4 linked regions of the Pelodiscus sinensis genome follow. The protein of the gene in region 2 interacts with the protein of the main gene of each other region in a biochemical or structural test. Links are inferred from orthologs where the notes say so. Each region holds a gene or a part of one and is shown on either strand. Other genes may lie near its edges. The genes, in order: RNF216, UBE2D1, LRSAM1 and RNF114.

Region 1 (7,080 bases), on a different chromosome or scaffold from region 2:
TTCAGAAGGCAGGCTTCAGCTGGACACTGCTTACCACAATTGGCTTCTGGATGGTGGTGCAGGGGACTAAGGCAGGCTTACCCCTACTCTGGCCCTGCACCACTCCCAAAAGCAGCCAGCAAACTCTCTCCATCCCTGGCCCCCAACTCTGTGGAGCTGGGGTACAGGGTGGGAGGAGGGGCACCCTGACATGAGCACACACAAACCCTTCTTCCCATGTCCTGCACAGCAAGCAAGAGGCTCCCAGGGCTGAGGGGCAGCTCCAAGGCAGAGGGCAGGAGTAGCAGGGCAGTGCTGAGAGGGGCAGATGAAGAGCTAGCACTTGATAGCTTCCTGGCCAAACCTGTCAGGATCACCTGTCAAAGGCTCCAAGATCTACCAGTAGATTCCGATCTACTGGTTGGTGACCAATGCCCTACAGCTAGTACCCCTCCCCCTCCATATGGCACTATACAACTGTCTAGGAGGAACAGCTAAAGATTTGTGTCAGTGGAGTAGCGGATATCCATTCTGTTCCCACACAGCTATTGAAGATTCCAGGGGACTAAAGGAAGAAAACATTTAGACTCCAGTTCCTCCACCAGCATTGAGGGACAAGAGAGAGACTTCTAGGCATGGGCATAAGGTAGAGCATATTGATCTCTATTCACTGAAGTCCATCTTCTCCCGGAGAGCTATGACTGTCAAGCTGCTACTTGCTACAGTGTCTGAGGAAGGGTAGGAACCACTGGAACAGAGGACACTTAAAGAACCAAGATTCTAGGATGGGAAAGTGTGAAGAGAGACAAAAACAGATTCAAAATTGCTTGATTTTAGCAAGAAGATTCAGTTTCTTTCGAGTAAAAAGCTAACTATCACAGCTATTTGGATCAGAGTGGAAACATTCAGAAATATCACCACCACCTACTGAAGAGAGTCCTGGTGAAAGACACCAATAAATTAAGTTGTAGCCCTGAAGTATTCCACACTTTCTTCTAATAAAGAATGTGAGCGTGGCTGGAGCATACTTCTCATTTTATGTAAACACCACCAAAAGCTATCGGATGGAGGAGTAAGACAACATTTAGTTTAAAAAGAAGTTGAAATTTCACCCAGTTTTGACAGAGAAAAAGAGGAAATGGACTGTTTATTTTTTGTACTGTAGGTATTTTTTAAGTAGGCCTATTTTAAGATTTTTTTAAAAAAACTGAAGCTAGTCTATAGTTAATCTAAGCACATACAACCTTTCAGACATTTACTAGATACAAGTGACGTGACCGTGATTAAGGTGGAAATTTTTAAAAGGCACAAATGACATAAGTGCCCAATTCTCATTAGCATTTTTGTAAAATCTGCCATGGAACTCTTAAGAAAGATGGCTCACAGTAGTAAAGCTGGCAGACCTATATTACTACTTTCCAGGAACACCCACAGTGTCTTCAGTGCAATACCAACATAAGAGGTTTGAACCTGAAAAGCTTATACTCTATATTAGATTGGATATATCATACTATAGATGCAGTTTTTGAATTTTTTTTCTCCCCCATTGACACTGGAAATAAGATACAAGTCTACTTCCAATTTTCACTGCTTTTAACTGAAGAAGGGTCTGACTTTAAAATACAAAGCTTCATGTTATCTTGAGATGACTGTTTTGTTTTAAACCTGGACCGTGCCAACAAAAGTCTGTCTACAAGAGGTGTAGCTCCAATGGCAGCAACTGCAGAAAACTTCACATAGGACAGTGCTTCTCAAACTGGGCTGAGACCCTGTTTTAATGGAGCTGCAAAGACTGGCTTAGACTCGCTGGGGCCAAAACTGGAACCCAGAGTGACAGCAGTCAGGTTACGGCTCCCTACCTGGGGTTGAAGCACTAGGGCTTTGCCCTTGCCCCCCTGCCCCACCCCAGGGGGTTGGGCTCAGGCTCCTCCTCATCCCACAGAGGCAGGGTGTGAGGATGAGACTTAGGCTTCAGCCACACACACACACAGCCATGTAGTGATTTCTGTGGTCAGAAGAGCTTCACAGTGGAATGAAGTTTGAGAACCACAGGCACAGGCCAAAACCAACCATTTTCACCGTTGTATCATCGATTACCACAGTGGCAGAGCTCTTACCACACCGGCACATCGCTTCCACAACGCATGGAGCTAGCATCTGAACCCATGTCCCCTTTAAATGAGAACCTCGGTGAGCAGCCAGGTTGTGTTTTCCACAGTAGAAGCTCCTTTCATCCCTCAAGCTTCCTACTCTGCCCGAAGCCTGCCTTCCCCCCCAGGAAGCGGGGCGAGAAGGGGAGGACAGAACTTCATGTACTTCTGTGGGCTGGGCCGGACCCGACTCCGGCGTGGGGCTGTTCTAGCGGCTCTCCAAGTCAACACGCCCGCAGGGCCTAGCCCGAGCGAGGCTGGACACAACGACACACGGGGGCTGGGAGCTCGGGGCAGGCGGCCCGACGGGGGGCAGGCGGCCCGCGCTCACCAGCTGCGCCGAAGCAAACCGGGGCTCAGCCAGAACAGCGCGGGGCTCTGAGGCGAAAGGGCAGGTCCTGCCCCTGGGGGGGGGGCACGTCTGTTACAGGCGCGCTATACAGGCAGCACCTCCCCCCACCCCACGCGCCGGCTTCGGGGACGCCCGGGCCAGAGGACCCATCCCCACGGCGACGCCCCCCGGCCCCTGCCCGGAGGGGCGCGAGGGGGGCGGGGCTGTGACGTGCCCAAGGTCACAGGGCGAGCCAGGTGCAGGGCCGGGCACCGACCCCAGGAGTCCGGGTTCCCCGCCTCGCCCCCTTGGGGCCCAGCCCCGGCGCCCTCCCCACGGCTGGGGCGGGGGTTCCGCGGGGGGAGGGGCTGGACGCCCTAGGGGGCGCGGCTCTGCCCGGGGGGGGGAGGGGTACTCACCAGCCCGGGCCGCTCCGCCATCTCCGGCCCCCGCTTCATTTGGCCGCCGCGGCCAGGCAGGCTCCTTCCGGCCCGCGCCGCGCCGCGCCACGTGACCGCCCCTCCGACCATAGAGAGGAAGGGCAGCGGCGAAGGGCGCTCAGGAGGGGCCCGTCGCCAGTTGCGCACCATAGAGACGACTCGGGCTGGTCCTCCCGCGCCCCCTACTGCTCCGCGGGTGAGAACCCGCCTGCTCCGGCGCGGGGTGGAGCCGCTGCCGGGAGGGGAAGGGGGTGGAGCTTCTGCGGGGGAGGGGGAGGAGAGGCGGAGCTTCTGCGGGGATGGGGCAGGTCCATGGAGGGAGGGAGATTAGAGCACTAGTAATAAGGACCAGAGGGTGCAGGGCAGGCAGCCTCAGGGCTTTGGGCTGGCCAGGCATAGGTGGTAGCATTGCACCGCCCTTCTGCGCCCCATCAAAATTGTAATTTGTAAAGGGGGTACCCCCTCCCCTGAACTTCTCCCCTGTCACCAGGGTCAATCTGGTGCTGAGGCCACATGGTGAAGAGACCAACATGGGCCATTGAATGGCCTGCAGATGTACCATAAACTGCCCCCCTCAGAACAGGGCGAGTGCAGGGCCCAGCTATATCCACCTGAGATACAAGGGGGGGAGGGTGGCCACTGCCTGACCTACAGTAATGGTCAGTGGGAGGAATCCAGCAACGGGCTGCTTCCACCCCTGACTGTCGCCCATGATCACTTCAGCCCCAAGGGGGTCCCTTGCTAGCCCTTTGCACAAGGGTGAGCTTCCTCCCCACAGAGCAGAGGTTCAGTTCCTAGTTGAATATGGGTTACAGCTGTGTGTGTGCGCGCCAGTCCTTTGTTTCAACCACATACACTGGTGGTAATCACATTAGGGGCTAATCCCCTTGAGACACTGGACTGGCTAGAAGTGATCCTATCAGCTCCCATGAAAACAATACAAACTTCTATCTAACTGCATGCTTACTGGAAGAGTACCATATAGGGAAAAATTACAGTAGCTTTAAAACAATTGAAGATGGTGTCAGGTAACAAAATCAAAGAAAATAAAACTGAAATTAAAAAAAGAGCAGTCAGTTTCTACAAGGTCAATCCACTAGTAAAATAATAGAGTTCAGCTCCGCCCCCCTCTTCTGGGCTCTGCTGTGCTCCCTACAGTCCCGTCCTATTGCCTTCCCAGGGCAAGCTTAAGCAAGCTACTCCACCTGTCAGTGCTACAGTTGTTATCTATAAAAGGTGACCAATTATATTGAGTACTATAAAAAGCTTTGTGATCTACTGAAAGTGTTATATAAAAGTAGACATTATTACATGTTAATCACAGAAGTTAATAGCAAATGGCATTGCTACAATACAGTAAAAAAGCAACCTTAATTATTAGGTAACTTTTGACTCTACAGGCTCAAGGTGATTCTGAATTAGCTTTCTAGTTGTTTAGCTAGTTTTATAGCTCACATACCCATAGTATCTAAATGACTAATATTCAATCCAATATATATATAACTGATTCAATTAAGATGAAAAGAACAGAGAATGTTTTCCCTCGTTTACCTGTATGGAAGAAATAAACCCTGCTATCTGCATGACCATACAAGGTGCAAAGCAGTAAAGAATCAGGCTCCTGGAATGTAACAGAACCACAAATGGATCAAGTAAGGATTCCTTGTTCATGAGCTTTCCTGGGCAAAACCCACTTCCTCAGAAGAGCAAGTTTTTCACCTCTGGATAACTCTGTTCCAGAGCTTAAATGTGTAGTTGTAACTCACCTACTGGGTGTGCTTCACTGTCCCATGGAGTGGCATTTAGACCACTTACAGAGACAGAGACAGAGAGAGAGAGAGAGAGAGAAAATGAGTGTGCTTTACAGCCTTAGCTGAATGCCAGCTGGCTCATGTGCTAAATTCCAGAGGTCCCAGATTTGGTTTCACCTGTCAGTAAAAGTAAATACAGTTGCTTAAAGCAACATAATCCACTATTCTGGATTCAGAAAAGACTTGGGCTACGTCTAGACTGGCATGATTTTTCGGAAATGCTTTTAACGGAGAAGTTTTCCATTAAAAGCATTTGCGGAAAAGAGCGTCTAGATTGGCACGGACGCTTTTCCGCAAAAGCACTTTTTGCGCAAAAAAGCCCCGATCGCCATTTTCGCGATCGGGGCTTTTTTGCGCAAAACAAATCTGAGCTGTCTACACTGGCCCTTTTGCGCAAAAGTTTTGCGCAAAAGGGACTTTTGCCCGAACGGGAGCAGCATAGTATTTCCGCAAAAAGCACTGATTTCTTACAGTAGGAAGTCAGTGCTTTTCCGGAAATTCAAGTGGCCAGTGTAGACAGCTGGCAAGTTTTTCCGGAAAAGCGGCTGATTTTCCGGAAAAACTGGCCAGTCTAGACACAGCCTTGGTGTAAATACAATTGAGCACTGTGGCCTGGATGGATGGATGAAAGAAAGAAAGAAAACTTGTGAAAGTCAAGTCAATATGTTGAGGCAAGGAGCCAATGACAAAGCTTCAAATCAGAATTTCATACAAGGTGCAATGCAACAGAAACTGCAGTTTCCAAAGGTTCACCAAGTAGAGACTGACTCAAAGAGTGCTAAAGATACATCAGATGAAAAGAGGGGGAAACATTTACATGTATAAAATGTCAGGCTGGAATTTATTATTTGTATTCCCACAGCATCCATGGTCTGCAATCAGGGAGCAAGGCCCCATTGGACAAGATGCAGTACAAACAAATGGTAGGAACACAGCGCCAGTTCTACATTAACGACAAGAACAAGGCTTCAGGTGAGTGCTGCAAATAAATTGGTTGGAAAACCGGATAGGCTATAACATGTTCACATGACTGCTAAAACTAACTGTGACAGGCACAAGTCTGAAGTTTCTGATTGATTTAGATGCAGCTGTAAATCTGGTAGTTGGCCACACTATGTTCATCTGGATGAAAGGAATAAACTATCACCAAATAAATAAATACCAAAAGATTTTAGAGTATGGAAATTGTAAGCCATTATCGAGGCTGGGCTTATGCAAAATTAAAGTGACAGAGTAGATCAGCCGTACACACTATATGTAACACTGCAAAAATCATCAGGAAACCTGCTTGAATTTATATCCCATGCCATTAACAATGGGTCCAGTGGACCACTGGCTTATCCATGCCTGCCAAGGGGAACCCTATCTGCTGTCAAACCATGGAAAGAAACATGGCGATTGTACTGAGGATTGAAGAACTCTTTCTTTGATACTTGGATGGAAATTCTCTGAGCGTTATTACTGATCAGTAAGTCCTGGTAACCCTATTTCAAAATCCTAAGGCTACAGAACTGAAGGCGCAAACACTTTTGCTGTAGGACACAAAACTGTAGGGCAAAGCGGGCAGTTGCCTTGGGGAGCAGAGATTCAAAAGGGCCCAGGTTCCCAGCCACCACCACTGCTGCCACAGGAGTGGTGATGGCCAGAGCCCTGGGCTTTTTAAATCACCACTGGAGTGCCACACGGCATGTTCTTGGCAGCTCTGAGGGCAGCCTGAAGGAGGACGGTGAAGCCCCACCCCTTCCACCTGAGACCTGGCCCCTTCTCGGAGCGTGGCACTGCCCCTTCTCCCCCGACCTTGCCCCAGGGCATGACAAGTCTGTCGGAGGCCCGGGCAACACAGCTTGTAGAGCTGCCCAACAGCCCTGCAGGTCCTCAACCCTGTCCTCTGAAGAGCGCACTGGCGGAAGGTTCCATGTAGCGATAGATTCACCAAGCGTTCCATTGCTCCCAGCACAGCAATGTCCAGGAAACCCTGCTCAGCTGATCTGCACAATGCACTGGCTGGGCACCACGCTGGATTACTCTGAAAAATCCTGCCCCCACCTCCACTGCACTGAAACGAGGCTGGTCCTACTGCAACTAGAAACTGCCACAACTGGGAGTCCAATTTTTCTTCTTGGGGGATTCTGACTATTGCTAATGAGATTTCCTCATGGAGATTGACAGCTGAATATGCCCCCATGTGTCCAATCCCCTTGCTTTCCCCTTCCCCATGGCTACTTGTTAGCAATTAGCCATCCAGCCAATGCACAGCATGCAACATTGATCACATCATTTCACTGGGCTGTGGCAGAGTTTCTTTTGCCTGACTTTTTAGGCAGGAAGTTGAGCTAATTTCCACAATCAAATGCTTTGCTTGGAGTGGG
Region 2 (7,043 bases):
CCTTAACCCATCTTTTCTAGGTACAGAATTCCTATCAGATGTCCAGGTTGTACCTTTCAAGTGATAAAGTTGCCAGAGAGAAACATGCTCTGCAGGAAGATCACAACAAGATACCCTGAATTTGAGATGTAAAAATGTATAAAATTAGTAAACATGTAACCAATCAGAAGTCTATTGATTACACGGTTAAATGGGTTATCTAGGAATGTAAGGATAGGGAGGGAAGACTCCCAGGCTATGGGCCGCTGGCCTTGCAGATCCCTCCCAGAATTCAACTGTTAACAGGAATTGACACACTGATGCTTATCAGTTAAACTCTCATATCCCCACCCTAGCTGATAATTAGGAACATCTGTGTTAGTAGCAGATGCATTTCCATTGCAACAGTTTCAGACCTAAGGTGGCATGTAAATGGTGTATTATTCATTATTATAATTTGTATTATCAAATTGCCTAGGAGTCTCAGTCATGGACCAGGACCCCATTGTGAAAGGCACTGTACAAAGGAGCATAATCAAAAAAGACTGTAAAATCTTTGGGGGCAAGACAATCAAAGTTCTGGTCTATGCTTAAAAGTTAGGTCAATATAACTGTAGTGCTCACAGGTGTGAAAAATTCTGTCACTCAAGAGAGTTGGAGATCTTACATTGATGGAAAAAAACCCTTCCATTGCTCTAAGAAGCATCTACACTACAATGCTACACAACAAAGCAATGCACGGTAAACTGTGCTACTGTCATAACTGTAACCTGGACACAAGCTACATAAGATAGGCCCTTACTTCGACTACCAGCCCTTGGACAAAGTATGCAACATTAGGGAGGAAATGATCAACTAAAGTAAAATACAATCTGCTTTACTGAGCAGACCCAATGCGATAGAAAAGCAAACAGATTTAGGAGAGCAATTGTTAGCAATCAGGGGAACAAGATGAATTAAACCAAAGTCTCTCTGACATTAACACAAAACACTGATCCCGTTGAGAAGCAACATGATCTTCTGGCGGTTAAGTGTTGAGAAACATGAACTCTCAAATTCTAATCTCAGCTCCTCCACTGATCTGCTATGGAACCTACCAATAACTGGCCAGACCAGAATTAATGCAGTTTTGGAAGTGGCATTGAACACAGTTTTTCTTTGATTACATATCAACTCAACTACATTCAGCATCAGTCTAGTTTTATTTCTATTGTTGACACTTGCTGTCAGTATCACACAGTATTTCCCTTATATAGCCTAGGATGTGAAAATATAACCGTGTAAATGGTTAACTGATAAACCTGGGCTCATTGGTTAACATTCACTGTTACATAACAAAGTGGGTCTTTGCCCACAAAAGCTTATGCTCCAATACATCTATTAGTCTTTAAAGCGCTACAGGACTCTGTCGCTGTTACATGCAGGTTCCCATCCTGCTCCTGGGGAGCCAACTGCTTTCTTGCGAGTCGGCTTTTAAGAGGCAGCAGTGCAGAGGCAGCTGCTGGATCCCATCCACAGCCCCACTCCCAGGGTGTGTCTAGACTACATAGCTCCATCGACAAAGCCATGTAAAGTAGTTTACTCAATAGTCAATGAAGCAGGGATTTAAACAATCCCCATTTCATTAAAATAAAAATGGCCACCGCGCGGTGATAAAGTGAAACGAGGCATACCAGAGCAATCAACAAAGGCTTCCCTTGTCCACCGCGCCATGTCTAGACTGCCATGTTGTGCCGGATCAGCTGATTGTCAGCACAGCGTGGTGGCCATTTTTATTTTAATGACGCGGGGATTATTTAAATCCCTGCTTCATTGACTATATCGAGTAAACTACTTCACATGGCTTCATCAACGGAGCTATTTAGTCTAGATACAACCCCAGAGAGCCAGCTGCTGCCTCTTAAAAGCCTACTCCCAGTGCACACCACCTCCCAAGGAACCACCTGACTCCCCAGGAGTGGGATGGGAACCCACATGTAACCGTGAATATTAACCAATGAGTCCAGGCTTATTGGTTAACTGTTTACATGGTTATACTTTCTAGTCGCTAGCCAATACAAGAGGAATACTGTGTAGTACTGAAGGCAGATGTCAGTATCAGAGGCAGCAATACAAGGTGGTAGCTGGCTCCCCAAGGAGCTGAGTGGCAGGCAAGAGCCAGTGCATGCCCCATACACGGTTACTTGCAACTGCAGTAACTGCTGAGATTTTCAGCTGTTAAATGTTTATCCAATTACCTTCTTTTTAACATCCCTAGTATAGGCAAGCCTCCTCTTGGTGCCTCAGTTTCTCCCACTGTAAGGTAACTGCAACTCTGCCCACCTCACTTGGGCCTTGTGAAGGTTAGTGTATGCACAAGGTTATACTTTATCCAGACTGTTATGCAGCTGCACAGCACCATTCCGACAGGGTTCTACAGGCAATCCTCCTCCAACCCACAGACTGGCACTCCTTTTCCACGGGGTAAGAGGAACAAAGAACAGTCTCCCAGAAGCAACAAACCATCAATATCCCCATTGGTATGAGCAAAGACACGAGAACCTCATTACTCCGAGGAGGAGAAACACAGCCAAGATTTCACACCCACTGCTCTACCCTCCGACACCGGCACCACAAAGTTCTCGCTGCCCATTGAGCCTCTCTTCCCCTGCAATCCCCCTCTCCCCTGCCATCAGCTTCCCTTCTAGTGGGGCCTCCCTTCCCCCAGCGCCCCTCTGCCTGCACGTCTCCTCTCCCCCGGCCGCTCCCGAGCCCCCCGGCCGCACAGCTCCTTCCTCAGCGGCCTCCCCCGGCCGCGCTCCCCCCGGGGACCCCAGGCCCGGCTCCCCCGGCAGGGCCCGGCGCGGCCGCTCTTACTTTCTGTATCCGCTTCAGCGCCATGGCGGAGACACGCTCCGGCTCGGGGCTCTGCGAGGCGGCGGCGGGCGGCTGCTCCCCGGCTGGGTGCGCGCAGTCGCTCCGGGCGGGGGCCGGGCTCTCGCAGGGCGTCAGGGGCCGAGGCCGGATCCGCTTGGCTCTCACTCGCTGGCTCTTTTGTTTCCGCTTTTACTTATAGACAGAGCCCGGAGCCCGCTGCATGCTGGGAAATGCAGTCCCGGGCGGGAGGAGGCGCAGCGCCCCCTGCAGTCAGGCCGCGGAGCCAGCAGGCCTAGGGAGCCAGCTGACTGCCCGAAGGCAGAAGTGGCAATTGCTGGCTGCTGCAAGACGCTACAGCAGGGCTACTCAACTTTGGAGGCCACAGGGACAACGTTGGAAGCCCCTCAAGCTACATGCTGAGGGCCACAACTTCAGTGTGGTTGCATGCATATTCAAATATATGCAAATAGTTTCTTTCACACTGACAGGCATCAATACAAAGACTAAGGCAAGATTACAGAACACACAGGCCCATTTAAGTCAGTTCTGCTGATATTAATAAAATGCAATATTTACTCGATTTCCACCCATATGACAGCACTTTTAGGGTACATCTACACTGCACTGTTATTCTGGAATAACAGCTGTTATTCCAGAAAAACAATACTAACATCCACACATCAACTGGGTTATTTTGAAAGAAAATCAAAATAAAGGAAGGCTTTTTCTGACGTTGGCAAACCTCATTCCATGAGGAATAAGGCATCTTCCAAAAAAGCTCTTTCAGAAGAGGGTTTATGTGGATGCTTCAGTGCTGCTATGTCGAAATAACTCCTCACCAGGGCCATTCTAAGTTTTTCCTCCCCAGTGCCTTCTGGGGCTCTAAACTGAGACAGCGCATCCACATTAGGGGAGCCTGCCTGCCTTGGCCTAATTTGGAGGCTTCCCTGTAGTATGGACACTTTATTTCAAAATAAGCTATTCTGGAAGATATTTTCTATAATAGCTTTTTTCTGAAATAAGCTTGCAATGTAGACATACCCTTAATGAGCAATGACAGTCTAGGAATTTAACTACTAAAATGCATATCAACAGAAGACCATTTATTGACTTGCCATTGTGGAGCATGTTCCCAGTGGATGCCATGTTCAAAGGATCCCACCCATGGGCTGCGTGATGAGCCCTGTGTAAACCCAAACCGCACTGCAGGCCACATGTTGAGTAGCCCTGCCCTTCAGCCTGAGATCAGAGGTTAATGAAAGTAACTTAATATTTCTTACAGGTACTGTCATGTGGCATTCCCTTGGGGAGGGGTGTGATCAAGCTAGGAGGTTGCGATACAATGGTATCTGAATGAAATGTAAGTGTAGAGGTGGAGTGCAGAGAGCTCAGGGCAGAGTTTCTGATATAGGAGACTCAGACAAAGCCTCCTGCTGCTTCCATTGGCCAGATTCCAGCCAATGGGAGCAGCGGGGAAAGCCTCCAGGAAGCATGTCCATGCTCTGATGTTCCCGCAGCCAGGGAAAGGAAAGCGCAATGCACGCAGCTGCTTCTGGCTCTGCTTCTTCCCCACGAGCTTGATCTGGCAGGGAGGCTTCGGGCTTTCTTTCCCCCTCCTCCTGCAGGAAGATGGCACTGGAGATTCAGTCTTGCGGTGGGGAGGGGGGAACATGAGGTTGGAGTTGCCAGCGTGAACTCTCTGCTGTGAGGAGGAGGGGCTGAGCTCCAGCAGCAAAAGAGCCTTATGTGGCTCCCTACTGAGCAATATTTGGCTAAGGAGGAGGTTGCCAACCTCTGGTTTACAAGGTTGGGGGTGGTTGAGGAAGGGCTCAGAGCAGGGGGTTGTGGTTGTGGTGGGTGAAGGAGTCAGGGTTGTGGGTGTAAGAAGGGGCTCAGGACAGGTGAGGTATGTATGTGCAGGGGTATTGCGGGGGTCGGAGGAGACATAAGCCAGTCCCTTTAATCTGCCTAGCTGACTGCTGCTTAGTGTGGCAGCCTACAGGAGAGCCCCAGGATCTAGTCTAGTAGTCAAGTGCCCCAGCCCACCATCTCCTTCATAACGGAGCAGGGCATAGAAATGCATCATCTTAACTACCTCTGCCTGGGATTAAAGCAAGGGGTAAATTCAAAAGTAGAGATACCTCTACTCCATGATCATTTCTCCACCATAAATAGATATGTGAAAGGATGCAAAGGGCATATAACCTTAAACCCATGGTCACCAACCCGTCAATCGCAATCAACTGGTTGATCCCGGAGGCTTGACCTGTTGATCGCGAGGCTTTGGGGTCCCCCCTCGCTATCACCCTACCCCCAAGATGCAGGCCACACTGATGCTACTTCCAGGGACCATGGAGGTAGCGCGGGCTTCCTGCGGGGTTGGGGGGCAGTTCTTCAGTTGCGCACCAGGTCCTGGAAGTGCTGCTCTCCCCACTGCCCCAACAGCCGACGTGGTACCTAAAATACAAGTCCATCGTGCGCTGGGGACTTTGTTCCCCTGGTGCCTTCCTGCGCATGGGGGAGGGGGTGGGAATCCAGGACTGCGCTGGCTCCGGCTGCTCAGGCGGTGTGCGCTGCTGTGCAGAGCAGGGGAGCAAGGTGTGTGCTGCCCAAGGAGTTGGGGCTGGCGCAGTCTGGGACTCCCCCTCTCCCCATGAAGAAAGTCATCAGGTGTGCAATGGACCAGCGTGTCAGGTACCGCACCGCTGTTTGGGAGATGGGGGAACAACCTGCGCACTTTCTGGGCCTTGGCATGCAGCTGCAGGATCCTCAGGTATCGGTCCCTGTCCCCTCCTTCTCACCCAGACCCGCACGAATACCCTGCCCCAGCACCCACAAGCACCCTGTCCCCTGCACCAGTACCCATTGGTACCCTTCCCCAGAACCCTGTCCCAGCACCCACAAGCACCCTGTCCTCTACCCCAGCACCCATTGGCATCCTGCCCCAGAACCCACTGGAACCCTGTCCCCTGCCCCAGCACCCATTAACATCCTGCCCTGGCACCCTGTCCCAGCACCCACAAGCACCCTGCCCCAGAACGCTGTCCCGGTACCCACAAATACAGTTGGGGCCACATTAGTGAGGTTTGAGGGGTTTGGAGGGGTTGTGTTTTTGTATCTCATTGTATGGTCCTGACTGACTTTTCTGTGGGCCAGTGACCCCTGACTCAAAACAGGTTACCCACCCTTCTCATAAATAAAGACAATGCTGAAACCTTTTGTGTTTGACATAATATTTTATTTAAAAATGAAGCCTGGCCAACAAGCCCCCAGTTGGGGCCAAGTCCTCATTTGGCCACAGCATCATAACACTCCTGTACCCCCCACCCGACTCCAAATCTGAGCCTATCATACACTGGAACCTCCTGTCCTGAGCGCCTCACATTCCCAAACTCCTGCACCTCCACATCCTCAATCTTCTGCCACAACACTCTTGCACCATACACACACTGCAAATCTGTGTCCTGAGCCCATCATACTCCTAGCCTCTCTGCCCTGAGTCCTCAACCCTAACTCCTGCACCCTCACATCCACAAGCTTGTGGCTTGCTCAGCACCCCAACTCTCCACCTGAGCCAGCACTCCCCAGCCTGGAGCCCCCTTTCTGAGCCAACATCCCCTTCTCCACATCCTCCTGCATCCAAATTCCGTCCCAAAGCTTGCACCTCTCACTCTTTCCCATACCTAAATCCCTCATGCACACCCTAGAACCTGCACTTCCTGTCTCAACACAGTGAGGGTATGGCTAGACTGCAGGAGTTTTTCCGGAAAACACGCTCTTTTGGCAGCCCCTGTATTCCTCGTTCCACAAAGAATGAGGGGGTTTCCAAAAGAAGGGGGTTTTCCGACATTTGGCCCAGTCTAGATAGGTCAAATGTTGGAAAAATTTCTTCTTTCTTTTTTTTACTGCCGAAAAAAAGCGACAGTGTAGCCGTAACCTGGGAGTGTAAAAGGGTCATGGATAGCAAGTGATGGAGAGAAGGGGAACAGAGAGGGCTGGGCCTCAAGGAAAGGGGAGGGGTTTGGGGAAGGGACGGGGTAGATCTTGGCTTGTCCTGACATTTAAAAAGTTATCTTGGGTGTAGAAAGGTTGGTGACCACTGCCTTAAACCTTATCATGCTCCCACCAAACATATTGGGTACTTAAGTTGCATTTTTTCCCTGTCTTCTTAATTATGGAACTTTACTCAAAAATTCCAAATGGACCTC
Region 3 (6,931 bases), on a different chromosome or scaffold from region 2:
ACCCACCCCCCAAAGAGCTGTGGAATACAGGGTTGCAACGCGTAACTGAATAGTTTTCTCTCAGAAGAGCTGAGCGTGGAACTGGGTGTGACTGACACTGTGCTGTGTGAACACGGCAGACACTGAGGGAGCATCACAGCACCAGACATTAAGATATATAATATGAAAAACACAGTAATGACACGACATTTATGAACAATGTGGCAGCTTTCATTTCCTTGGAATAACCTCAAAATGGAGCAGTCCAGCAATCACAACGAAACAAGGAGCAGACAGCACCAGAAGCAGAACGAGAGAATTAGGAATATAGTGCCAATCCAAATCTGGCCGTCTTAATGGAAGATAAGTCTTTGTGGAGTGTTTTGTTTTTTAATTGGTGCTCTTTTAACATACTCTAGTGCTCCCAAGCTTTGAAGCTGGTGATTTTCAGCCAGGAGATAGCACATTGCTGACCCAAAGGCTTTTTGGTTTCTGCGTGAAAATCCACCCAAACATGGCTGAGTTACAAGCCTTTGAGAAAAATCCCAATTCACACAGGGCTGAGCACGCTCCAACGTCTCACAACTTTCACCTGTCACTGTGAACAGATTGCCCTTAAAGCCTCCTCACAAAGCAACTGACCAATTCAGGGCTAGAGGGGAAAAGCCGGACTTTATCTGCAGCTCCTGCTCCAGATGAGGGTGGAACGTAGCACTGGAATTGAGAGCCAGGAGCCTGTGTCTCCTGTGTTCCTAAAGACCCCCTTGCTCCTCCGGCTGGCACCCAGGCCGTGTGAAGGAGGAAGATGCCTGATCCAAACACAGAAGGGACAAAAGCTGGGCCCCAGTGGTGGGAAAGGAGTCAACTGGGTGAAGGAGTCAGGGAGACTGAGACTGGGTGGGGAATAGATTGTGACAGGAAGTTAGGGTGAGCCTAGAACTGGCTGAGCAAGGAGCTCAATTGAGTCAGGCAAGGAGGGGAGGCTAGGACTGGTTGGGCAGGGAGGCAGGCACTGGGACTGGGAGGGGCGGCTGGAACTGGGTGCACAAGGAGCCTGGCTGGAGGTGCCAGGGGATGGAGAGGAAAATGGAACCAAGAGTCAGTGAAGAAAACAGAGGGTGGGAAATCTGGAAGCCAGTTCATCTGGCGGGTGGAACTGAGATCAAACGAGGACCACTAACTGTGGTAACCTACCATTTAAATCAACTTTTGTACCAGATGACTGGAGGCAGGGATGTTAATGGTTTACTGGTAAACATCTCCCTTGCTGGGTGATGTCCCCAGTTAACCTGTGGCCTGCCTGGACTGCAGCAGAGCCCTGCCCGACAGGGCACACTGCACTGTGGGTAAGGGATGCTCCAGCCCAACCAGGATAGCCCCCACCTACGGCAGGCCCAGCCTGGATGGAGTAGCATGCCACGGATGAGAGCGCTCCAGCCAGGATGGAGCAAACCCGGCCCACATGGGGCCCCAGCCCGGCCAGAGCAGCAGCGCTGCTTCGCAGGTGGGGGACATTCCAGCCAGGCTGAAGCAGCCCCCCCCCCCCCCCCCCCCACATCAGACATCATCTGATTAAACAGGATTTTACATCCTGAACTGGACGATAGCTAATGTGACACCAATTTTTTAAAAAAAGGTTCAGGGGCAATCCCTGCAATTCAGTACCAGCAAACCGGTTGAAACTAAAGTAAGGAACAGAATGATCAGACACCTGTATGAACAGAATCGGTTGGGGGAGTGTATTCAATAACTGGTTAAAGACAGGGAACAAAGAGCAGAATTAGGGATGTAAAAGTGTCGTCGATTAACTGATAAGCAAAAGCGTATAGGTTAATGCTATGGACTCCATGCATTCCCCCACCCCGCCACCTGCCATCAGTACATTTTTTAGCAGGCTGGCCAGCAGTCCAGCTTAGTTCTAGCTCATGCCAGGACTGGGACCCACCCCCGCCGCGGTTCTGCATTTATATTAGGAGCCAGGCAGGCAGGCACGGTCCAGGAGTTCAGCCCTACCCCAGACAGGTGCTGCTGCCACTCTGCTGCCTCTGTATCAGAGACAGCAGCATGGGGCGACAGGCAGCCAGGCAGCGAGGGGCCAGTCCCTCTTGGACCAGCCCCAGCCTGGCACCGGAGCTGCTGCCTGTGATCGAGGCAGCAGCGTGGAGTGGCGGGGGGCTCCCTGGCGGGGGGGCTTCTTGACGGGGGGGGCTCCCTGGCGGGGGGCTCTTTGGCGGGGGGGCTCCCTGGCGGGGGGGGCTCCTCGGCGGGGGGGCTCCCTGGCGGGGGGGCTCTGGCTGCCGCCCCACCCCTGGGGACTCGACTGTCCCGTTCACCGACTGTCGCGAGCCCGGAGCGCTACCGGCCCGTTTCACACGAGGGCCCCGGGGCCGCGCTGGGCGCTGCCGGCACGTTCGGGGCGAGCCGGGACAGGGAGCGACGGGCCCGGGCCGGGGGGGGGCCTGGCCAGGACACTCCCCGCGCGCCGGGGCCACGGCTGCTCCCCCGCGGCTGGCAGCGCCTCCCGGGGCCGGGGGGGGGCGTTCGGGGGGGAGGGGCAGCCTGCCGGCCGGGCCTGCGGAGCCCGAGAAGACCCGGGCCGGACACGGGGGGGGGGGGCGCCCCCCTCCCCTGAGAGCCCCCGCGCGCGCCCCCGCTCACCGCTCCCCGCTGTCACCAGAGCAACTTCCGGGTCCCCCCCCCCGGCGGCGCTGTCACGTGACTACGCCGCCACAGAGACGCGCGGCCAGAGCGTCCCACTCGCCGGGGGGATGGGCCCGAGCTCCGACAGCGACCGCCAGGGGGCTGCGATCGTGTCACCCCCCGTGCGCGCGGGGTTCGGACTCGGAGGCAGGAACGGCACTGAGGGAAGGGAGAGACCCAGCTCCCCGCTTGGCGGCGCCTCCTGGCGGCCTTGCCCACACCTAACATGGCGGCCGGAGTCCCCCTCCCGCTCGGCCCTTGCCCACACCTAACATGGCGGCCGGAGTCCCCCTCCTGCTCGGCCCTTGCCCACACCTAACATGGCGGCCGGAGTCCCCCTCCCCCTCGGGCCCTTGCCCACACCTAACATGGCGGCCGGAGTCCCCCTCCCGCTCGGCCCTTGCCCACACCTAACATGGCGGCCGGAGTCCCCCCCCCCCTCCCACTCGGCCCTTGCCCACACCTAACATGGCGGCCGGAGTCCCCCTCCCGCTCGGCCCTTGCCCACACCTAACATGGCGGCCGGAGTCCCCCCCCCCTCCCTCTCGGGCTCTTGCCCACACCTAACATGGCGGCCGGAGTCCCCCCCCCCCCCTCGCTCGGGCCCTTGCCCACACCGAATATGGTGACAGGAGTCTCTGCCCACAGCTAACATGGCGGCCGGGGTGCGGCTTTCCTATGTCTCGCGAGATCTCGGAGTATAAGTGGCGCGGTCGGAGGGGGGCTGGTCTCTTCTGCGCGCTGCCCTGGGCCGGAGGTTCGTCGCATCCGTCTCCATCCGGCTCGGGCCCGCGCCGCCATGCCGCCCAAGTTCGATCCCAACGAGATCAAAGTCGGTGCGTTGGGGGAGGTGGGAAGAGGGGCGCGGGAGGCGTAGGGGGCCGGGGAGGGGTCGTGGGGGGGGGGGTGGGCGGGCGAAGGGGGCCGGGGAGGGGTCGTGGGGGGGGGGTGGGCGGGCGAAGGGGGCCGGGGAGGGGTCGGGGAGGGGTCGTGGGGGGCGGGGGGGGGGCTCGTGCTCCCTGCCTTGGCGCCCCCTGGGAGGGGCCACTCTGCTGCGGGTTCGGATCCTGCCGTGCGGCCCCTGATGCTGTCTCTCCCGCAGTGTTCCTGCGATGCACCGGTGGGGAGGTCGGGGCCACTTCCGCTCTGGCCCCTAAAATCGGCCCTTTGGGCTTGGTAAGTGCCGCGGGGAAAGGGGTGACTGGGTCTAGCTCTGGGGCTGGCACGTGCTTCCTGCCTGCTGCTGAAAGCTGCTCAAGGGCAATAATGGGGGTTCAGGCTCATGCCCAGCTTCAGCCACTGGCCATTTAACCAGTGAGTGTGGGTTGAACAGCACATCCCGGGAGGTGGCCCTGCTGGGGCAGGGCAGGGATGGGCTTGTGGCCCTGGTACCTGGGAGGCGTCGCTGCCTGCTCTGGGTATAAGCCAGGCTTTTCTGCTGCTCGCCTGCAGCACACGTGCAGCCGCTAAGATGTTTGGTGGTTACCATGTTACATGATTTAACATCCCTTGTCGAGGGTGATTTTTCTCCCACAGTGAGCTGGCGCCCACCTCGCCCAGCTGCATGCCTGCAGATGAGCCATGCGTTGAGGTATCCTAAGCTAGATACCTTTTTAACTACAGGAATCCACGGAGCCCACTTCCCTCTTAGCTGGCGGCTCTGTGCAGCCTTAGTGGTTAGTGTTTGGCTATTGTCAGTGGATGGAAATCGCTCCAAGGTTTGCCTCTTGTACAATGGTGGGGGGTTATCATAGCTGTGAGTTTACCATCACCTCTGACTGGGCAGAGAGCCAACTTGCAAGACACTGAATTTAGCATATTATTTGTATGACGGGCTCATGTGTGTCCAGCAGTCCCTGCTGCTTCTGCTTCTGGGCTTGTGGCTTGCTCTGCTGGGAGCATCTCTCCATGAGATTGCAGGTAAATGAGTACCTGCTCACACCACTGACCCTGGGTATAGATCATGAAATGTGCATCCTAAATCAAAGAAAAGCATGTTAGGAAAGTCACTCTGACGACGGAAAAATCAATTAAATGCTTGTTCTTGTTTTCAGTCTCCCAAAAAGGTTGGTGATGACATCGCCAAGGCAACAGGTGACTGGAAGGGGCTGAGGATTACCGTGAAACTCACGATCCAGAACAGGCAAGCTCAGGTACTCAATGCCAGAAGGGATGGCTTGGTGGTGGAAGCACCAGGTTTGGAGTACCTGGATTTGCTGGAACCACAAGTGTCAATCCCGGCAGGGTCGACTCAGCCCTTCATCCTTCCGAGGTAGATAAAATGAGTTCCATGCAGTTCTCTGTGTGGGGGTCTTCTGGACGAGACCTTAAAAACGAAGTCCCTCCTAATATCTGTAGGCTCCGGCATGCTGGGGTAGAGCCAAGGCAGGAACTGGCTCTAGCTTGCCATCCAGAGGCAAGTGCATTGCAGTGCAGTGTGACTTGGGGCGGTCCAGGCTGGAGGTGCTGTGTGATGAGTGGAGTGCCTGGAGTCAAGACCAGGCATCAGAGCACTAGTCAAGGTTAATAGAATGGAGAGGAATAAATGGGCTTATCATTCTGTGGGAGTGACAGACGCTGTACTGCCAAGGTGTCTACTGGGAACCGATGTCCGGGGTTCTTTGCCTGAGAATGCCAGGGGGCACGTGGCAAGCCGGGGAACACTGTCTCAGTAATCCTTCAGCTGCTCTGCAGTGTGGCTGTAGCCATGTGCCACCATGCCTGTCTTGTATGGCAATGACCGAGGTACTCCCATGGAGAGCTGGGATGGAGCTGTACATCTTTCCATAAAGAACAGACATGTCCCATACACACAGGAATGAGGGCTCAGGTATTTTCCAGTACGTTCGTTAATTGTGACTGTTTGCATGAGGTGCACAATGTGTTTCGTAGGCTCTGTGGGGCGACTGACTGGTTCTTCTCTCAAGGATTCTGGGTTTGCTTTCTGGCCTCAGTATCTCCTAAAGAGAACCTCTTTCCCCTCCTTCAGATTGAGGTTGTCCCTTCTGCCTCTGCCCTGATCATCAAAGCCCTCAAGGAGCCTCCTCGGGACAGGAAGAAGCAGAAGAACAGTAAGCGTCCCTCTTAACTTCACTTGGTGACTTGCTAAGTAGTGAGCCTAGCCCGGGTCTGATTGGCTGCCACTTAACCTACCTGCGTTTAGGGTACTCCTGAAAAAGGGAGTGTTTGCCAGCCTTGTAGGGCATTTGTTAGTGTCGGGAAGCCCTTCACGTTTCTAAATCTATCTCAAGAGAAAATTACTCCTGGGATGCAGGAAACCGAAATTGTCGGGTTCCTTGTACTGACACAGCTGGGTGCTTCTCAGGCGTGTGACAGTGACCCCTTGCGCACAGCAAGCCTGAGGGTGACTCCCTTTATAAATTAAAGACCTTTTTATATTAACGCTTCACCTCCAGCATTTATAGTGGGGCTTATGGTCTCCAGACGGGGTCATGACCCCCAGTTTGAGAACCACTGGATCAGCTAGCGTTTGTCTGGTCTAAAATTCAGTAAAACAGCCACCTGCCACTGTACCTGTCAAGTATGAAATGGCTGGTACAATCCAGTGGTGCGCTGATAGAAAACACCAGCTCAGGAAACAGGGTTATTCTCTCTGTGGGTAACTCTGTGCCGAAGTCTGGGGACAGAGAATAAACCAAGGAAGGAGTGCTGCTTTCTCCGCTCCCAGGGCTGAGCTGTTGAAGGGACTGGGTCAATGCTCCTCTTGAGACCTCACTGGTGTTTGCTTTTGTTCAGTTAAACACAGCGGCAGTGTCAGCTTCGATGAGATCGTGAACATTGCACGCCAGATGAGGCACAGGTCCTTGGCCCGCGAGCTCTCTGGTAAGCCTGAATTCAGACAGGCCGCGCAACCCCCCATGTGCCTGTCTACCCAGGAGCTGGCCTGCAGTGCAGCTTTGGGCTCTGCCAAAAACTTCAGCCTCTGCTGTACGTAGATTTCCTGGTGAGAAGTGGTGGATTCATGAGCAGTCAGGCAACCTGGCAGAGGCAGAACAGGACTTTTCCCCATGCTCCTGACCCTGTCTCAATGCAGCCTGTTCCTAAGGGCACTAGCTGGGCCTCTGCTGACTGATACCTGGGCATTAGCTTCCTAAAGTACAGTATAAACCAGGGTGGGCAAACTGGCCAGGCCACACCTGACCTGTCAGGACCCAGGATTACCAGTCTGCCAGCTGTGGGTCCATGCTGCTCCCAGGAATGGCTCGCCCCCCCTGCAGCCCTGAGGGTAGGG
Region 4 (7,625 bases), on a different chromosome or scaffold from region 2:
AGCTCCCATTGTCCACAGATTACTGTTCCCAACCAATGGGAGCTGCAGGAAGCAGTGTCCTAGTCTGCACCACTTCCTGCCACTCCCACTGGCTGGGAACGGCCATCCGCGGGCAGCAGGAGGTGCGATTGCCGGTATCTGTGGAGGCGCAGGTAGATATAGCAGCAGCAGCCTGCCAAGGGCTAACCCTGGCAACCACCACTGTTTTATTGCTCACACCTCCTTTAAGGCTAGGAAGGACCATCATGATCATTTAATCTGACCTCCATCATGCTGCAGGCCTCAGAATCTCACCCACCCACTCCTGTAATCGATCCCAACCTCTGACTGGGTTACTGAAGTCCTCAAATCATGATTTAAAGACTTCAAGTTACAGAGAGTTTACAGTACATTAGTTTAAACTTGCAAGTGATCTGTGCCCTGTGCTGTAGAGAAAGAGAAAAAACCCATCATCTTTGCTACTCTGACCTGGGGGGAAATTCCTTCCTGACCCAAAATATGGCAGTCTTGTTAGATCCTTAGCCTATAGGCAACACCCACCAGCCAGACACATGGGAAAGAATTATCTGTAGTAACTCAAAATCCTCCTTATCTCGTGTCTCATCACAGGCCATTGGAGATATTTCCTGCAGTTGCAGATCAGCTACATGCCATTGTAGACCGTCTCATTGTACCATCCCCTCTCCCCATAAACATCAAGCTCAGTCTTGAAGCCAGTTAGGTTTTTTTGCTCCCCTTGAAGGCTTTTCCAGAACTTTACTCCTCTGAAAAGTCCTCCTTAACACAAAAGAGTTACTGTACCGGATCAGACAATCTGTTTCTTAAAAACTTGATCCTGTATCTCTCAGCTGAAATGCTGCATATGGAAGTGTAATGAGTACTCAGGGGAACCCAGTTCTGCACTAAGGATAGTGATTCTGCATGGCTGACAAGTAACTTCCTAATAGCAAAATTAAAGCTCAAAGGTCATTTGACAAAATATTTCATGAGAGTGGTAAAGATGCTATTTGAGATCTTCAGATGTGCTCATTCTTCCCCAGCATTGCTTCTTTTTACCCTGCACTGTGGCAATGGGGTAGACATGCAAGCGGCTTGATGCTTATTACTTGCTCATTCCACAGGGCTACACTTGGGGCTTGATTCAAAGCCCATTCCAGTCAATGGGTGTCTTTTCATTGGCAGCCCGCCTTTCCTTCATGGCCCGCCTTTCCAGAGACCATCTGTACACGCTCATGCTCCACACACTGCATTTCCTCACCCTCGTGTCCCGCTCCGATACCAAATGGCAGGATTATTTAAGATCAGTTGAAGGTAAGGAATCCCGACGGACCAGTGTTTATTCCACCTTAATCCCACATCCCATTGAGGACATCAGCTGGCAGCTCCTCCATGGAGCCATGAGCATGGGTGCATACCTGGCACAGTTCACCCCCGTCCCAGACGCCTGCCCCTTCTGCGGCGTGAGGGGAAACCTGGTGCATGAATATCTGGAATGCACCAGGTTGCAGCCCCTTTTCCAGCTCTTCCAGAACCTATTGCTGAGGGTCTGGCTGCACTTTTCCCCTCACCTTTTTATTTATGCGCACCCCATCCATGGCCCCACAAAGTCACAAGACCTCCTTGCCAACCTCCTCTGGCTCTGGCAAAAGCCGCAATATATAATACCAGGGGGAGAATGCTGGATGAGGGGGTGCTCTGCAACTGTGGGGCCTACTTCCGTTCCACCCTTGTGTCACATATCTAGGCAGAGTTCCTCTAGGCAGTGTCCGCTGGCTCCATAAACAGCTTTGAGGAGCAGTGTCCCCATCCGGTTCCCTCATTTTAAACCTTTGACCCGCACCACTTGACCCTGTTTTTCATCATTTGTCCCTCGTATTTAGTTGAGCCCTGGGCCCAGTTGTCCCTCCTGCAAGGCTGGGGGAGGGGCTTTTAGAAGTGGGTGGGCTGGCACCCGCCTACCCCGTTGGGTTCAAATAGTGACTTCACTGGGCTTACAGTCTGGCTCTCAGAGCTTAGTACTTGCACCCACACATAGCTGCTGCTCACACTTAACTGCAGTGCAGCAGCCTTATGTTCCCTTTTGTGCAGTGAAAAAGGATTTACAGGATGAAATTGTAACTCATAAGGTGATAGACAAATAATGCCCAATGCCTGCCATTTCAGAGGAAGATGAAACTCACCAATAACACAACTTAGTCAGTATATGACATGACAGGGTGTGTCCTGCACTGAAGAATTTAAACTATGAAGCATAAGACTCAGCATTCCTATTTTAGCATTGCTATATATTTCTGTCCGTATTTTCTAGCTTGTATTAAAGTCAAGATTCTGTTTCAGTCTTTGATCTCCTCCTGCTGCAGTTGGCTGTCCACGGGAGAAAGCATTGTTTTAAATTTACATCCCCAGTGTATTGTCATCTGTTTACCTCCCTATATTACAGGATGATGGTATGAAGAGATGGGGCTGAACTCCTTTCACTGAACCAGTCATATTGTGAACTATTTAAACTAAAGCCCCTTCTTCTGCACCGTTTCCCTCCACTTAATATAGCAACCCCGATACAATTAAAGACTATATGTGCAACCCCAGTTTCTAACCATCTCCAGTGTCTATCTCTTGTGTGTCATTTACACATTTCTAGTACAGGCTGTTTCAGCAGAGATGTGTTCTCATAATAATTATAATAATTTTACATGTATATAGTACCTCAGTCCTAATTATTAATTAGTATTATTAATCATATATATGACAGTAATATTTAAAGATCAATCAATAATGGGGCAAGGCACTGTATAAATACAGTGTAATGAATGGTCCCTGGCAGTGTGGAATTTACAATGGAAATAGATCAGACAGACACAGGATGGGAGAAGGGGTAGACCACACAAGTTGGTTGAAAAATATGAGGGCAACAAACACTTAAGGGCCACCTTTTTTGGAGAGTGTGGAGTGCGGATGGAAAGGAAAGTGCAGAGCGACAGGGCCGGGGAGAAGATGGTAAGAGGGTAGGGTTGCCAGGTGTTTAGTTTTGAATCAGACAGTCCAGTATTTGAGCTTTCTGTTCAGGAAACAAATTGAGAAAATATAAATGTCCAGTATTTTCTAAATAAGATGTAATGTAGATTGTGATGTAACGTCAAGTGTGTCTGGTATTTTTGTTGAAACCATCTGGCAACCCTATAAGGGGGCAGGGGCGGTGTAAAGCAGAGGTGAACAGACTGTGAGGGAGAGGATTACAGCAAGGAGACAATCTCCACAAGGCAGAGAAAGGCCACTCAAAACAAAGAAGTTAAATGTCTAAGGTCTCTGCTTTGGCTGCTGGCTAGAGTCTACATGGCTCCATCCTCTCTGCAGTTACTTTTCCACCAAAGGTCACATGGGAGGGAAGGCACCACTTAAGTCCTAGTGCTGCCATAGTAAGTAGGGACGTACCAAATTCACAGCCATGAAAAATGTATCATGAACAGTGAAATCTGGTCTCCTGCTGTGAAATTTGGTCTTTTGTCTGCTTTTACCCTCTACTATAAAGTTTTCACCAGGGAGAGCAGTGTTTCTCAATTGGGAGTTCTGACTCAAAAGGGAGTTGTGGGAGAGAAGTTGTATGGTTATTTTACCAGGGTTGTGGTATTTTCACCCTTACTTCTGTGCTGCCTTCAGAGCACCTCACTCTGAAAGCAGCACCCCGCCAGCAGCAGCACAGAAGTAAGGGTGGCAGTTCATACCATGCCATCCTTGCACTGCCACCCTCAGAGCTGGACAAGCTGGAGAGTAGCAACTACTGAGGGCTTCAGTTCTGCAGGCAGTGTTGCAGAACCAAGGGTGGCAACACCATTTTGTGACATCCTTACTCCTGCACTGCTGCTGATGGTGGCTCTGCTTTTTCAGAGCTGGGCTCTTAGCACTGTAGCTGCCATGCTAACGGCAGCGCCACTGCCAACAGCAGTGCACAAGTAAACGTAGTAGCACCGCAACTTTGTGATCTCCCCCCAACTCCTTTATGAGCCAAGACCTCTACAATTACAACACCACGAAATTTCAGATTTAAATTGCTGAAATCATGAAAATTGCAATTTTTAACATCTCGGACCATGGGGCTGAACAAAATGGACAGTGAATTTATAATCAACACTGCATGAGCTGTACACACATTGCATTATTGAAGGTGGAAGGTGTAGCCAAAGGCACATATCACTCCATATATGGCAGAGGCAAGGAGGGAGCAAATTTTAGCAACTCCATCAGTGGCTGGTTGCATCTATGCCATGTTGTAGCCCTTTTCTCTCCTGCCTGGCCATGCACTTGCCTGCCTGTGCCCATGCACGGTGACTTCCCTGCCCAAATGTTCCTTAGCTGAGTCACTTCCCGCCCAGTTTTGTCCCCTGGCCACTCCACTTGCCCACTATATCCTGAGTGGCTCTGGCTCTGCTCAGGCTCCTCCCTGCCTATTTCCTTACCGAGCTCTCGCCCCACCCACCTGCCCTGCGCAGTACGGCCCCTGGCCAGCTGTGGGTGGAGCTGAAGAAACTCGATCCGTCCTGGGGCGTGTCCGAGCCGCGAGGGGGCGTGGCCAGAAGCCGTTGCTGTCTTGCGCGTGCGGATTAGGCCGCCGCCCTGTGGCCCACTCGGAGTGGGCGTGGCGGAGAACTAGCCCCTTTGGGCCGCCGTCGCGGCGCCCGGGCTGCTTTGCGGAAGTGCGGGGCGAGCGGCCGGTGGAAGATGGCGGGGGTAGAGAGCGGCTCCCGGTACCCGGCGCTCCAGGACCCGCTGTCTCGCTTCACCTGCCCCGTCTGCTTGGAGGTGTTCGAGAGCCCGATGCGGGCCCCCTGCGGCCATGTGTGAGCGGACCCCTCGGGGAGGGCCGAGCGCGGGACGGGAGGGTTCCGTGATATCGGGGCTGGGGCGGATCCCTGAGGCGGGGGGGGCCCCTCTGAGCGCGCGAGAGGGCGGGGGGCACGACTGGTGGGGCCTAGGCGCGGGCACTTGGAGGCGCCAGGACGGAGTTGTCACTAGTGCACGGTTCCCGTGTGGGCCCCCGCCACACACCCCCCCCCCCCCCAGCCTGGGGAGCGGGCCTGAGCCCTTGCGAAGAAATGGGTCTGCTGATGCTGTAGGATTCCCGAGAAACGCTCCCCCGCTACCTGTTAATCCTCCTCCTGGAGCCCGTTAGCCCCATTGGGGCTCAAAGCCACAGGCCATTTCGTTGCGGGGGGAGCTTTTCCTGAGCAAGCCCTGAAAGATTGGGCCCTAGAGGGATCACTTTTGAGCACCTGGTAGAAAATCCGACTGTTCAAATGGATAGCAGTGAGTGCCGGGATTTCCCATGGCTAGAAAAGGGTGGAGTCCCAGCCGGTCGATTCTGGGAAACTGTACCAGAGAGGGAATAGAAAGCGAACCAATTTAATTGACGGCAGCATGTGCTGGTGAAGGAGAAGTGTGGAATGGGCTAAGGAAGAAGCTTGGCCTTTTTTATTTTCAGGTATATGGGCTCATCTGCAGTGCAGTGGTGTGAGTGTTATGGAAACACTAGATAAAATGTGGGTGATTTGAGCTGTGGATAGAAGGGCTGAGAGTGGGACACCGACAAGATGGGTGGGGTAGACAGCTTTCTTACAAAATGAGCTCTCTGTTTGGCTGTGACTAAAGTGAAACTTAAGTACAGTTCTGTCTCTGCTGGGACAAGATGCCCTCCTTTCCTGTAAAATTCACAGGAGAGGCTTCTAAGAGGAAATAAGCCCTAAGGTTAGACCTGCCTTATGTTAATCACACTGCTTTCCTTTTCTACAGTACAATGTTGCTGTCGCAATAGTCCATTAAAATGGTCTAGTTAATGTTTTCTAACATGACATTTTTCTCAGGTGAAATGTACCATTGAAAGAGCAATGTACATCGCCTTCAAGTTCTTGGGTGGAGGGGGGGCCTAAAGAAAAGGGTTTTGCAGAGCAAGCTAAGGCCCCCTTCTTTCTCTTTATGCATCTAGGGAGAATAGTTGGGTGACTTTTACAGGTTATATTTCAGATTACTAAAAATGAAAAATGAAAAGAATATTTTTTCAGTTTGTTTATTTTGTGTGTTTGACAGCACTTTGGTTAGCTTCTCTATGTAATCATTGGGTTTTGCTGTTTGTGTGGATTTTTCTATTGGAAACAGTGAAGAGAAACTTTGAAAAGAGGAAATGTAGCATAAACCACAAATTGGTAAGAGCATTCGGGGACAGGGACATGACTTGAAACTGTTTTTAAATTGACTAGATTTACAGTGACTTGGCTGTCCTTTAGTATAACACACGTATCAACAGATTATTTGTCAGTGGGTGTTGTCACTTGGGACTTTTTTCTTTTAGAGTAGGTCTCTATTTTAATGGGAACAATACACGTATATTCTACAACATGCATTTTTACAAATCGTATTTCTCCCATATTAGCTTTTGCACTCCATGCCTGCAGGAATGTCTGAAGCCTATTAAGCCAGTCTGTGGAGTCTGCCGCAGTTCCCTCTCTCCTGGCAGTAGAGATTTGGACCTGGAAAAGCAAATTGAAATGACAGAAACCACTTGTGATGGCTGCAATAAAAAAGTATGAAAGAACAAAAAAGGAAGTACATATATAGTTAAAATAGGCAAACAGCTTACATGGAAATGCACTATTTTGCACATCAGCTTTCTAGGGAATAAACAATCAGAACTTTAGTTTTGATAAATAATTTGCACGGACTGCATATAGGGCAGGGGTGGGCAATATGCGGCCTGCAGGCTGGATCTGGAGTGCCAAACCACCAGACTTGGCCCTCAGCTGCCTCGCTGGGACCCTTAGGCACAGAGCAGCTCATGCCACTTTAAATGGCTGGCTGCTCTGGACACTGGTGAGGAAGGATAGAGGCTTCTCCTGCTAGTCCATCACCCAGCAAAATCTCTCAACTGCCTTTGGCCAGTTTTCGGCCAACAGAAGCTGAGAAATTTTGCTGGGAGCAGGGGCAACATGTGAACCCTCCCCATGCTGGAGTAGAGCCACATGGAGCATCCAGGTGTTTTGACCAGCTTGGGACAGCAGCAGACAGCCTGCCTCCAGTTTCTGCAGGGCTGCTGTTTGGGAGCCACCTAGGTAAGAGCCTCTCAGCCAGAATCTGCCTCTGGCATCCCATCCCCTCTTTTTCCCCCACAACTACCTGTCCTAGGCCACCACTTCCTCCTGCCATAGGGTCACCAGCTTAACCCTCTATAGCCCCCTCTCCCCAACTGTCCAGGTCACAACTCCCTCCCAGGCCATTGTACCCCCTCTTAAACCCTTTCCCCAGGCCAGAATCCTCTCCTGCACCCATACCCCCTCTCAGACCATGCATCCAAGCTTCTGCCCCATATCATAACCCTGTCTCACACCTCAACCTCCTACCCCAAACTCCCTTCTGCATCCAAATTCTGACTCAGACTCCACATTTCCTTCTATAATAAAAGCGCAGCCTTTGATCACTTACCAAATTCTTGGAGTTCGCACTTCCCACCCCATTAAAAATTATTGCCCCCACATGATATAGGGTAATGATACCCTTTCCCCTGTTGCTGCTGTTTTTTCATTAATAGGTAGATTTCAGGTACAAATACACAGTTCACATGAAGCTGATGATGCAGTAGG

Evidence for each region.
Region 1: the proteins of UBE2D1 (region 2) and RNF216 form a complex in vitro, tested with the Homo sapiens proteins (2 studies listed by BioGRID). The link is inferred for Pelodiscus sinensis from reciprocal best matches to the Homo sapiens genes UBE2D1 and RNF216.
Region 3: the proteins of UBE2D1 (region 2) and LRSAM1 form a complex in vitro, tested with the Homo sapiens proteins (2 studies listed by BioGRID, with this or other methods). The link is inferred for Pelodiscus sinensis from reciprocal best matches to the Homo sapiens genes UBE2D1 and LRSAM1.
Region 4: the proteins of UBE2D1 (region 2) and RNF114 form a complex in vitro, tested with the Homo sapiens proteins (3 studies listed by BioGRID, with this or other methods). The link is inferred for Pelodiscus sinensis from reciprocal best matches to the Homo sapiens genes UBE2D1 and RNF114.

What each region holds. Positions count from the first base shown.
Region 1 is NC_134726.1:31,672,508-31,679,587, forward strand, and holds the start of RNF216 (E3 ubiquitin-protein ligase RNF216), read right to left. Parts: upstream 3,015-7,080; 5' UTR 2,880-3,014; intron 1-2,879.
Region 2 is NC_134718.1:33,639,867-33,646,909, forward strand, and holds the start of UBE2D1 (ubiquitin-conjugating enzyme E2 D1), read right to left. Parts: upstream 3,024-7,043; 5' UTR 2,860-3,023; coding exon 2,836-2,859; intron 1-2,835.
Region 3 is NC_134732.1:1,225,406-1,232,336, reverse strand, and holds the start of LRSAM1 (E3 ubiquitin-protein ligase LRSAM1), read right to left. Parts: upstream 3,017-6,931; 5' UTR 2,638-3,016; intron 1-2,637. Other genes in the region: RPL12 (large ribosomal subunit protein uL11), read left to right, coding at 3,479-3,515, 3,782-3,855, 4,734-4,832, 5,669-5,750, 6,436-6,522.
Region 4 is NC_134728.1:19,615,519-19,623,143, reverse strand, and holds the start of RNF114 (E3 ubiquitin-protein ligase RNF114), read left to right. Parts: upstream 1-4,613; 5' UTR 4,614-4,716; coding exon 4,717-4,835; intron 4,836-6,078; coding exon of another isoform or gene 6,079-6,194; intron 6,195-6,421; coding exon 6,422-6,572; intron 6,573-7,625. UniProt on the Homo sapiens protein: E3 ubiquitin-protein ligase that promotes the ubiquitination of various substrates. In turn, participates in the regulation of many biological processes including cell cycle, apoptosis, osteoclastogenesis as well as innate or adaptive immunity.